2 linked regions of the Daphnia pulex genome follow. The protein of the gene in region 1 interacts with the protein of each later gene in a biochemical or structural test. Links are inferred from orthologs where the notes say so. Each region holds a gene or a part of one and is shown in the gene's direction. Other genes may lie near its edges.

Evidence for each region.
Region 2: the proteins of DNA polymerase iota-like (region 1) and DNA polymerase eta-like interact in far-western blotting, tested with the Homo sapiens proteins (2 studies listed by BioGRID). The link is inferred for Daphnia pulex from reciprocal best matches to the Homo sapiens genes POLI and POLH.

Annotation. Positions count from the first base shown.
Region 1 is NC_060019.1:7,784,405-7,791,321, reverse strand, and holds DNA polymerase iota-like, read left to right. Parts: upstream 1-1,146; 5' UTR 1,147-1,220; coding exon 1,221-2,804; 3' UTR 2,805-2,842; downstream 2,843-6,917. UniProt on the Homo sapiens protein: Error-prone DNA polymerase specifically involved in DNA repair. Plays an important role in translesion synthesis, where the normal high-fidelity DNA polymerases cannot proceed and DNA synthesis stalls. Favors Hoogsteen base-pairing in the active site.
Region 2 is NC_060027.1:5,021,832-5,027,599, reverse strand, and holds part of DNA polymerase eta-like, read left to right. Parts: coding exon 1-125; intron 126-189; coding exon 190-320; intron 321-394; coding exon 395-469; intron 470-529; coding exon 530-703; intron 704-770; coding exon 771-972; intron 973-1,034; coding exon 1,035-1,224; intron 1,225-1,300; coding exon 1,301-2,347; 3' UTR 2,348-2,964; intron 2,965-3,424; 3' UTR 3,425-3,656; intron 3,657-3,728; 3' UTR 3,729-3,809; intron 3,810-3,874; 3' UTR 3,875-3,959; intron 3,960-4,023; 3' UTR 4,024-4,121; intron 4,122-4,189; exon of another isoform or gene 4,190-4,192; 3' UTR 4,193-4,272; intron 4,273-4,300; exon of another isoform or gene 4,301-4,360; 3' UTR 4,361-4,453; exon of another isoform or gene 4,454-4,505; 3' UTR 4,506-4,603; intron 4,604-4,671; exon of another isoform or gene 4,672-4,674; 3' UTR 4,675-4,754; intron 4,755-4,782; exon of another isoform or gene 4,783-4,843; 3' UTR 4,844-4,936; exon of another isoform or gene 4,937-4,988; 3' UTR 4,989-5,086; intron 5,087-5,154; exon of another isoform or gene 5,155-5,157; and 10 more. UniProt on the Homo sapiens protein: DNA polymerase specifically involved in the DNA repair by translesion synthesis (TLS). Due to low processivity on both damaged and normal DNA, cooperates with the heterotetrameric (REV3L, REV7, POLD2 and POLD3) POLZ complex for complete bypass of DNA lesions.

The DNA of each region.
Region 1 (6,917 bases):
TTTATCTCTTAGAGTAAGGAAGTAGCATGAAAGCTATAGATACCAGATAATACTGCCTTAGTGTGTGAATGACAAGGTTGCTTGACACTCTTGTGATGAATTTTATGTTTTTGTAATCATTTGACAAGGCCTTACAGTGGAAACTAATTTCTGACTTTTCCTATATTGAACATTTCACTTTTTAAATCTGTTTAAATAGAAGAAACAATTAACTTTTCTGTGCATTGCACATCTCTTGACAGCAAAGAGGACTGTAGTGTAAGAGAATATTTTGTTGTTTCATTAGTGCTTTTTAATGCTTATGGGGATTCCAAAGCTGTGTACATTACATTGTCTTGTCTTGCAGGTCTGACAAACTTCTTTTAATGGAAGTGTGTTAAGAAATGGAACTATCAAATCTCACTAACAATTTTAGCTGTCCTCAAAACACTTTCAGATTTTGAGGAATGTGTATTTTGAGGAAAATGCAATCAGTCAATACAAAGTGGAAAAGAGTATCATGTTTTAGTCTAGTTTGAATCCTTTTTTTATGAGGTCAGCTTTGGCATCAACTATCTCTTGTTTTAGCTCTTTGGCAGCCTCCTCGCAGTCATTAAATGTGTAGACTCTCCAAGCAATTATTGAAACAGAAATCACCTGCAATAATGAGGGAAAAAATTGCTATAGATAATACGCACCATATCATATAAAAACAAAACTTACTGCGAATGCGAGTAATACGTAAAATGGTAGGAACAGAACGAAATGCCGGGCAAAGTCGCTAGAGTTTCCAACTGGTGTACTGATAAAGAGGTAAGCCCAAACACCAGCAAACAAGCCTGCACCACCCAACCATTCAACCAATTTTGTCATAGTGAATAATTGACAGAATGACAACAAGGAGAAAAAACGAATGACAGAAAGAAAAGAATTTGCTGGCGTGTCATGTAAAAATCAAATGTCATGAATTTCTGCATAGTTGCCTGAAATACTTGATCATTTTCATATGGTTATCTTTATTATTTCGTGATATTTTAAAACAACACTAATTCATTTTTTAAGTTTTCTTCATTTCAATCAGAAAATAATCAATTAGCTTATGAAATATTTTGAAATAATGAATTTTCATTTTCTTTGCGCTTCGGGCTCATAGTAACAAAGCAGACGACACTACAGTGCTGTCATTTGCCGGTAGTTGAATTGTTATTGTTTGTTTAAACTTTTTCCTTACTCTTTCCGAAATGGAGGAAGAAGATTTAGGTGACGATTTCTCGTACAATAGTGTTGCCATTCAGTCAAGTGAAAAACATGAACGCGTTATCATCCATATAGATATCGACTGTTTTTATGCCCAAGTTGAAATGATTCTAAATCCATCTTTATGTGGCAAACCACTTGGTATCAAACAGAAAAATATTGTTGTAACCTGTAACTATGAAGCAAGAGCGCTGGGTGTTGAGAAACTTATGTCAATAAAGACCGCACTAGAAAAGTGCCCTTCCTTAGTACTTGCAAATGGAGAGGACTTGAAAAAGTATAGAGACATGTCAGAGAAGATTTATCAAATTCTTCAATCGTTCAGCCCATTTGTGGAGAAACTTGGCTTGGATGAAAATTTTATTGACATTTCCCACAAAATCAACAAGTCCCCTGAAATTAAACCAGAAGTTTCTGGACACATTTTCGAAGAAAAGAACAGTGATGAAACTTGTGCATGTGGTTGTACAGACAGACTAAAAGAAGGTTCTATTATTGCTCAGGAAATGCGAAATCAACTAAAAAGTGAACTTGGAATCACCTCCTGTGCTGGAATTGCTTGTAACAAGCTTCTAGCTAAATTGGTTGGAGCAACCCATAAACCAAATCAGCAAACCACCTTGTTCTCAGCATCATCTTTAAACTTGATGAAATCATTGAAGCATCCTAGAAATATTCCTGGAATTGGTTCAGCAATGAACAGAAAACTAGAGGTTCTTGGTATTGACACCATAGAAAAACTTCAAGCAGCAGATTTGTTTAAGCTTATTGAAGCACTTGGAGTCAAAACAGCTAACCAAATTCAACAACTGAGTTTTGGGATCGACGATAGTCGTGTCAAAATAACCGACAGACCGAAATCTATTGGAGCCGAAGATGGATTTCCTACAATCAAAAGTGAAACTGAAGTGCGCAAGAAGCTCAAGTGCCTGCTAGATCGAGTTTGGGAGTTAGTGGAGAAGGATGGCCGTAGACCAAGTCAAGTTAAATTGACAGTTCGGAAATTACATGCGACCAATCACAGTGTCAGAGAGGCCCGCCAGACTGCAATAGATCTTACGACTGGAGTTCCTAGCAACGCGCCATTAGGACCGTTAAGTGAAAATCAAGAAAAAAAAGTCATCACGACTCTAATGAATCTCTTCGAAAAGGTAGTAAATTGCGATGAATCGTGGCAAGTTACATTGTTGGGTATTTCGTTCTCTGGTTTTCCCTCTGGCATCGAAAGCCCAGCGAAAAATTCCATCAACAAATATTTTACTAGTTCATCGCGACCGAACGAAACTTTGCCACCTCCAACTAAGCGTGGACGCTTTGACGAATCTGTCCTCCAAGAATTACCTGATGACATCCGTCAAGAAGTTTTAGAAGATATGAAGTGTCAAATACCATCATCAAGCACCTCCCAACAGTCAGCAGATTTTGATTGTCCAAAAGGTGTCGATCCTCAAGTTTTTCGCGAGCTCCCGGTGGAGATCCAGAAGGAACTGCTGGCTGGGGAGAAAAATAAGAAGCCAATCGCAACCAAAAAACCTAATAACTTATTACAGTACTTCCGTAAAGTGTAAAAATGTGTTCTGTAGTAGCTATAAATGATCAACAAAGACATGTTATTTCATGGATGGGATATAATTTTAGCCACTTCCTTATCTTTCGAGACCAAAACACCTTTTCGGCCATCTTGTCTAGTAATTAGCAACAACCAACGTTAAGGTAAGTGAGGCGTTTTGTTTCCGTTTTGTTGTTGTTGTTTTTTTCTAGAATACTTACTATCCTGGCATTTTTAGTTTTTTTTTAAAGATTTTGAAATTTGAGGTTTGGCCACACAGAATGCTGAACGACCAATTTTAGAAATCTTATATTATATAAATATTCATCGAGTTTGCCGATTGTTGTTTAGTTTACATGTATATGTATGAAAAAATGAAATTGTCATTCTAGTTGCATGTCACCGTCGACGGTTTCCAGGACATGTATGGTGACGGTTTACATCATACAACTTATCCTTTTCTGGAACTCTATTACTGAACAAAAGTAAATAACCAACAATTTCTAATGTAAATTTGCTTTCTTGCTTTCACTTCATACGAGACGTGTGCAAACTAGCAGACCCTAACATTTCACATACCGCTAAATGTTATTCGATGTTATTGACTGAAACTTTTTTTTAATTTTGCTGCATAAGAACTGTATTGGCGTTTTCAAGGATTACTTCCGAAAACATCGTCAACTACATTTTAAAACAATATAAATTTGGTACGAAAACTTACGCTTGTATGTTTGGGAACACAGCTTATTTTCATAATTTTTGCTAATTTATCTCTAGCGTGGTAATTATCGGTAATTATTGAACGTCGAATTCAAAAAGAACCTGATTTTTGTTATCCTCATTAAATTTACGTTCGATTTCATGTGCACACTGAAAATCGTCCAAAATCGAGATTTTCTCTGAACTAAACTGAACGATTAGGAATACAAATACCCTCCGGGAGGAGAGCCAGAGCCCAGAGGAAGGCTTTCAACCACTGCTGGAGTTTATTAGCGACATCACCAATGTTTCACGTTTTATTTTTCATAATAGCTGCCTGACCAGGGGAGGAAGACTCGCGGTAAGTTTAAATCTAAAATTAATTACACGGCATGTCGATACCGAAAAGATCGCAACTTGGTCCCGGATGGCGGCCAGTACGTTCCCTACCACAAAATTTTACTTTTGTTTGACTTATTACGTTTGATTGTTTATGTGATATTAATTTTTAAAAATGGTTGTTTGCCATAGAATCGAACTAAGTCCCCTTTTTCAGAAAATTTTAAAGGGGTGTTAGTTCATAACTGACATCCAAACTCCAAAGTCGAAAAAATTCTATTTTTGGATTATCCAGTTGCAATCATTAGTAGGTAAAAACTAATGCTTGGTACTATTTAAAAAATAATTTTGTTTGACCTTGGTTATCAGTTTTCTCGTGTGCTAAAACCACTTCAAAATGTTCTGTAAAAGTGGATTTAGTTCGATTTTTCGGCAACCCACTATTTTTCAAATTAATACCTCAAACTAAAAAACGTAGAGAATCGCGATTTGCTCCAGTAGACTAGACGCAAAATTTTACATGAGTTATGAATTAGTGTAATAATTTTTAACGCGTCACCTGCACCCGACGTCTAATTGCGTCTAATGGCGGAAGGCCTAGCTTTCTGTCTACCACGCTTAGCGTAGATGATTTGTTTGAATAGAGCCAATTCATCAATCTACGCAAATGCCTCTGTAAACAAACAACAAACCATTAACGACCTATTGCGCGCCTGTGACGTTGCGCAGAATAGTGAACAATATTTAACGACAGCTATTGCCCGAATTGAGCATATAAATTCATAGGTGGCACAAGTAGAAAACGAATTCATAAAAAAAATTTAGCGATCAATCATTAAAATGTTCTTTAACTTTAGCGATCAAAAAGTGATCGCTAAAAAAAAATTGTTCGTGAAAAAATTGTTCCCAGGGCGTGTATGTCATAGTCATATACTCCGGAGACCGGAGTGCGATAGCGTCTTTGGACACTAGAGCGCACTGCATGATATGGCACGTCGAATCCATCACAAAAAAAAGTAAAAAAAAAAAAGTTTCGTCGCAACGCCAACTAGCGGTGAAATATGGAACTACATACAAAATTCCCTTTTCTTGCCCCAAAACGCGAAATTTTGATTTTCTTCGCTTCTTTGTCACTCAGAACGTGAAAGGTTAAATCTATTGCCACGAAATCCGAGAAATCAGACCATTCAAACTAAAAAAAAAACAGCTTGTAACCTAGGTTAATGATTTCATCTGAGTCAACAGTCAACGTTAAGCCATGAAGAAGGTTAAGCTAGCTTTGAAAATTACCAATGAATTCATAGGTAAACTCGAGTGATTTCGTCTGTAACTTGTCGGTGATGTGTTCTATTCCGTGTATATGTTGGATAACTTTAATGGTTTTCATCTACTCACAGTCAGAGTAAACGTGAAAGTCGTGCAACCTACCGTCAACTATTTTGTTCAAACTCATTGTATTCTACTGAATGTGTCATCGAAATGATACAGGTAAAAACCAACACTAGCTTTATTTAATGCTAAAACATATATTCTTCTCATGTTTTATTAGGATTAATCTTAATTATCGGCTGTTTCTGTTGAACTTGCTAGATCACCGACTCCAGCATGGACCAATCTCTCATTCCATCTTCTAGAGAATCTTGGATTTTTGGATAACTGATTGGTGGTTTCATGTATAAGTTCACTTGTCATGTTACTGAACTTTATTAATTACAGTCTAACATGAATTTTTGTTTTATTTACAGGTTTCTAAATTGGCATGACTGACTTTATGAGAAGTTATGTCTTTCCAAGAAAAAGGACTTACAGTCAACAAGATTCCTTGTTTGCTAACCTGTTGGCTGCTACCCTTGAATCTCCCTATTTTTAGACAACAAAAAAAAGAGGTTAAATATTGTGATCATGCTATCATCATTGTAAGTTGTGTTTACATTGAATTTAGAGAAGTTGTCATACTAATAGCAATTTTGACGATTGTTTGGTTTCTTATTTAGATGTTGCCTATAAGATCAAATGTGGGGTATCTGGTTATCCCTCCAAAATAAGGCAATGACCACACGTTCAACGCGGATCATTCGTTTTGTCATCGAACTTGACTCATTCCATCTTCTGGATTGCTTAGGAAAGCTGATTGTTGTTACCTGTGTAACTTCATTGTCATGTCACTGAATTAAAATTTTGTTTACATTTTGTTTCTTGATTTACCCATTTAGATAATGACCGAGAAGATGCGGCCTACATGAACATCATTTAGGTTAGGCGGCCAGCATCATTCGACTACCCAACCGGCTTCTACTACCCTACTCTCACACTCAACACAGCACGGAGTTTTACCCTTTAGATTTTTGGCTGTTCGCGATGTGTGATGGCGTTTCCTTGGACGAGATGATGATTTTGGCGAGAAAAATATTGCGTGAGTATATACTTAACTGTTTAATTATTCTTTTACTTATTTTTTAAATGTTTTTTTTTTTTTCATTTACAGGTTCTAACCTTCAGGTTCATAAATTTGCATGACAGACTTTATGAAAAGTAATGTTCTTTCAATGAAGTCAACAAGGTCCCTTGTTTGCTAACTCAATGGCTGCTACCCTTGAATCTCCCTATTTAGCTCCTTACACAGTCCCTCTTGATTTGAGGTATTGCTATTTGTCGCTACAATCTTATTGAAAATTATTGTCATCCGAATCAATGTTCATTCTGCTTACAGGGTAATCCTTCGCTACTAATCATGGACTCCATTGGTGAAACTGAAAACCCACGAGAGAATGCTGTAATCCAAGACTGATGAATTGTGTAGTTAGATTAAATTACAAGTGCATTTCTGGGCTCCCTTCTTTTCTGTGGTCCCGTTTCCCTAACTAACCACTAACCAACGTCCGCCGTTGGTCACTCACCCGCTGTGAAACCAGGAGGAGGGGAGGGCTCTGGTCGAACGGGGACTTGGAAGGCATATGATCCGACGAAAACTTTTAAAGGGTCATGAGTCTAACCCGGAAGCCTAGTATGACTAATCGCTCCCCAGTAAAACTTGCCTCGCACTCTTCTCTCTTCTTCCATTTCCAGGTAATCTCCCTGGATCTACGCCGACACT
Region 2 (5,768 bases), on another chromosome or scaffold:
GTAAATTATGAAGCTAGAGCGCAAGGAGTAACTAAGCAGATGAGAGGAGATGAAGCCAGGGAAAAATGTCCAGATTGCATTCTTTACAGAGTACCTGAACAGCGAGGAAAAGCTGATCTCACAAGGTAAAAGTATTTTTCTAAATTTATCAAAAAAGATATATATAATTTTCATAATTTGCAATTCTAGGTACAGGGATGGAGGAAAAGAAGTCATTGATGTGATGTGCAGCTTTGGTGTCGTCGTAGAGCGCGCCAGTATTGATGAAGCATACATAGACATGACCGCGGTTATAGATAAAATGCTTTCAGATTCCACAGGTTGGTTGAAAGTAAAATTCAGCTTGATGAAATTCGTCATTCACTTTGTCAATGTCCTACTTTTACTAATATAGCCACTGCGATCGATCTTGAAGAGCTTCCAAACACTTACTTTGTTGGATGGGGGAACGACACAGATGATGTAAAAGGTCGGTCATTATTTTACATGCTCTAGTTCTATTACTACAATATTTCCTATAAATTCGTAGGTGTACACGGGTGGTTACAAGCGTTATCGGAAGGAAATTGCAACGATAATGACTGGAAATTAACATATGGTGCTATTTTGGTTGAAAAGATGCGCGCTGCTGTTTATGAAAAAACCGGATTTCGTTGTTCTGCTGGGATTTCCAACAATAAAATGTTGGCGAAACTAGCTTGTGGTATGCTCTTATTTCTTTTCTTTTTTTTTATTATGAGCCTTCAAAATGACTTTTTTTTTTCCTATAGGCATCAACAAGCCCAACAAGCAAACCGTTTTGCCTTTTCGTTCCGTTGAGGAATTTTTTACGACGTTCCCTTTAAAGAAAGTTAGAAATCTTGGTGGTAAACTTGGTCTTGTTCTACGAGAAGAGTTCCATTGTACTACTATGGCAGATATCGTAAAAATTCCCGAGCGGGTCTTGCAGGAACGTTTTGATAGTAAGACGGGGTAAGTTTTCTCGCTTTCATCTTTAAATGCCTCTCATATTTATTGAAATCTTTGTCTTTCAGCACGTGGCTTTACTGGTACGCCCGAGGAGTGGATCATGAGTCGGTCAGCTCCCGCAGACTGCCCAAGTCCATAGGCTGTAATAAAAATTTCACTGGTTTAGCTGCACTAGATTCTCGGGAGAAAATAAGCCATTGGCTAGAAGAGTTATGTGCTGAAGTTTCTGAGCGACTCGAGAAAGACCGGGAAACGGTAAATCCCATCACTCTTGTACCTCTTTTTCGTGTGTTGGCATAACATATTTTCCCTTGAAAATTTATTTTTTTAGAATAATAGAACGGCAAAACTATTAACTCTGACGGTTCGATTAGAAGGCGATATACGACCGTACTCTTATACTCGTTCAATTCCTCTGACTTCTTCATACGAAAAAATGCACATGGCGAACGCTTGCTTGGCAGTTATTAGTAAAGAAAATCCTTGTTTCAAACAAGGCAACACTAGAGTTCCAGTGGTTGTTACCTGCCTTGGAGTTTCAGCTAGCAAGTTTGTTGATCAACTGGAAAATAATTCCAGGATCGATCGCTTTTTTGTCACTAAAAATAGTGCTGAAACCAACAAGGAAAAAGAACCCTATGCAGAACAGGAAGCATTGCATGAAAACGATGATCTAAACGAAAACAGTACTGATCAGGAGGATGAAGAAAATGAATTTGTAGAAACTGAAAGAATCTTGGATATTGAAGAAGAAAGTATTACGGCACCAGAACCAAATACAGCCGACTCTGCTTCAGAGTGCACTGAAGCAGAGCCTGTATCAGTCCATAGAGAAATGAGTTCAATGCCTATTTCCAATCAAGATAACTGTGGAATAGTGAAAAAAACTGGGTTTTTTGCTTCTCGTTGCCTTGACAAAAACACTCCAATACAATCAGCTAAAGAATCTGTTCCTGAACCAGCAGCCCTGAAAATGGTGGGTCTTCAAGAGTCATTCTCCGTTGAAGAACTATTTCCAGATTTAAATCAAGTTGATATGGATACCCTAGCTCTACTCCCGCTTCATCTACAGCGCCAAGTTTTACAAGCAATCGAGGCTAGGAAAGGTAGTTATGGAAATGATAAATTCGTTGTATGTGACAAGTGCAAACAACAATTTCTCCGAGAAGAAATCGAAGAACACAAAGATTTCCATTTGGCGTCCGAATTGCAAAAGGAATTTTCTGCCCAGCCTTCTACTTCTTCATTGGCCAACAATTCGAAAGTCCAGACAGCCGAGAAAAAATCGTCGAAGAGGCCGTTGAAGAACCAGAAGAAGGCAGCCAAGGATAGCAAGCGCTCAAGGACGATAGATTCGTTTTTTGGAAGCCGGCCGTAGTAAAAAAAATGTAAGTTCAATTTATCAACCAACATGTACTAAAAACCCGTCAAAATGATTAGCAATATTCTGGCGATTGTAGTAAAAATATTGTTTTTTTTTAAATGTAATTTTGTGTGAACCAACCGGGAGGGGGGAGGATATTATTGAATATTGACAGAATTGTTTCCAATTTTTATTCAAATAAAAATATTGATGAATTTGTAATATTTGCAAGTGTTTTTCCTCGGTTCTTGGTAAAAAACGATTGATCACAAATAATGATGCTTGCTGTATCCGCCTGGCACTTCTTGGTTTATAGGTAAGGAGGACACCTTTCGTTTAAATGAATGTATGAAATCCAATCGGTCCGAATACCCGACTTCCTTTGCAAAGGAAAAAGGATACATCTTACGAAATTTAGTATTCCGGTAAGTGCTAAGCAAATTGGCATTTCAATTGGAATTTTTTTACGGCATTGCGAAACCATAGACTACAAAGGAAAGACTGAACTCCCCTATAACCCTCCACAGGCGATGCTTCTGCATGCCGGTAGAGGTCAGGTGGTACGGTATCCAGTGGATATCACTCATTTTCCTTTTCCCTACCGATTACGTGCTTCACACACGCATTTTCGGGTACATGTAATTCATAATTCATATGGATTTTTAGATTTTATACTGTAATTTTATATAGCCCTTCGCCCTTCCCCATGTCCCTTGAATGTTTACTTAATTTTGCTTACAAATTCGGGTGTAGGAAAAAAAAGTTTTATGTGACACCCTTTTCCCTATGAATAAAGCCCCCACTAGTCTACAGTGTTGCACGATTGAATTAAACAAATCGCGCAACACTGTTGTGAGGGCTAACACAGAGGCAAACACAGATTGATCGCTTTGAAAGACTCTTGCTTTTGCTCAGAATGAGGATCCATCATTCTAATATGAATGTAGTGTTCAGTTCAGCTCATTTTCTTTTTAAATTAGTCTATTATGAGAGAATTTCACTTGTATTCACATAAAATCACTTGGGACATGTGGAAATATTTGAACTTGTTTTTACAATTTTGTACAAACTATCGTGCAATCTTTTGAATAGTTATTCAGAGCAGGAGAAATGATCATTGAAGAGCTTCGATAACTTCGACATTTCTTTAGAATAAGATGTGGAAGTCTGCTCTTCTGCGTGGCTTGGAGCCTCGTTTGCCTCTTCGTTTTTGGCCCTTTTCACAGCTTTTGCAGCCCTCTTCCTATCTTTCTTAGGTTGGACGTTTCTCTTCCTTTTGGGTGTAGGTAAAACGACATCATCTACATCAGTTTCGTTTTCATCTGTAAGTTAATATATACATTTTATTTTTTCGTTTTAATTTAATTATTAATGTTTGTTTGTTTTTTTCACATAGGCATTTTACTTACCAGAATTGCTGTCGTCCTTTTTTCTCTCATTAGCTGACAGTATGATTTCAGCTACAATTAAAAATAAGGTATTAATTAGTTTTATTTATTGAAAGTACAAGTTTAATTACGGTTTATTTTTACGTGAACCAAGGCTCCTCATCCTCCACTTCTAGTTCTTGGTCTTCAGGATCGTAGTCAGTAAAACAATCAAACAATATGTCTTCTTTAAATTTTAGGTAAGGAATTATGTATTTTTCACTAAAGTATTAACATATTGTATTGTATATTGTATTGTATTAGGCCATTCTTATTTTTTTTTTTTTGGAATTGTGAGAAATGGACTATCTGAGTCTGGATAGTCATGATCAGAAAGGGAGTCCTCCAATAACTCTGCCTCTGTAAGTATTAAAGCATTAATTATATATATTTTTAAATAACCATTTATTAAATCAATATTTATACTTACTAGGGCATATGGTCAAGGCTGGATGTTTTTCACCAAACCTGAAAGTTAAATTTTGCTTGTTAAGTAAAGGATTCTGCCCCAAGGTAATGTTTTTTCATAAATATAACTTACAAGTCACACAGATAACTATACTTGAACATTTCAATGTTTTTGATGTCTGTTTTTTTTCAGTTAGATAAATTTAGAATTTGGAAAGACTGAAAGTCTGAAAACTGTTTGATTCAATTTCAACAGAGTCTGACGTCGTCTGCTCACCGGAATTATGTATTATTCACTAAAGTATTAACATATTGTATTGTATATTGTATTGTATTAGGCCATTCTTATTTCTTGTTTCGTGGAATTGTGAGAAATGGACTATCTGAGTCTGGATAGTCATGATCAGAAAGGGAGTCCTCCAATAACTCTGCCTCTGTAAGTATTAAAGCATTAATTATATATATTTTTAAATAACCATTTATTAAATCAATATTTATACTTACTAGGGCATATGGTCAAGGCTGGATGTTTTTCACCAAACCTGAAAGTTAAATTTTGCTTGTTAAGTAAAGGATTCTGCCCCAAGGTAATGTTTTTTCATAAATATAACTTACAAGTCACACAGATAACTATACTTGAACATTTCAATGTTTTTGATGTCTGTTTTTTTTTCAGTTAGATAAATTTAGAATTTGGAAAGACTGAAAGTCTGAAAACTGTTTGATTCAATTTCAACAGAGTCTGACGTCGTCTGCTCACCGGAATTATGTATTATTCACTAAAGTATTAACATATTGTATTGTATATTGTATTGTATTAGGCCATTCTTATTTCTTGTTTCGTGGAATTGTGAGAAATGGACTATCTGAGTCTGGATAGTCATGATCAGAAAGGGAGTCCTCCAATAACTCTGCCTCTGTAAGTATTAAAGCATTAATTATATATTTTTTTAAATAACCATTTATTAAATCAATATTTATACTTACTAGGGCATATGGTCAAGGCTGGATGTTTTTCACCAAACCTGAAAGTTAAATTTTGCTTGTTAAGTAAAGGATTCTGCCCCAAGGTAATGTTTTTTCATAAATATAACTTACAAGTCACACAGATAACTATACTTGAACATTTCAATGTTTTTGATGTCTGTTTCTTTTTCAGTTAGATAAATTTAGAATTTGGAAAGACTGAAAGTCTGAAAACTGTTTGATTCAATTTCAACAGAGTCTGACGTCGTCTGCTCACCGGAATTATGTATTATTCACTAAAAAAGTATTAACATATTGTATTGTATATTGTATTGTATTAGGCCATTCTTCTTTTTTTTTTTTGGAATTGTGAGAAATGGACTATCTGAGTCTGGATAGTCATGATCAGAAAGGGAGTCCTCCAATAACTCTGCCTCTGTAAGTATTAAAGCATTAATTATATATATTTTTAAATATCCATTTATTAAATCAATATTTATACTTACTAGGGCATATGGTCAAGGCTGGATGTTTTTCACCAAACCTGAAAGTTAAATTTTGCTTGTTAAGTAAAGGATTCTGCCCCAAGGTAATGTTTTTTCATAAATATAACTTACAAGTCACACAGATAACTA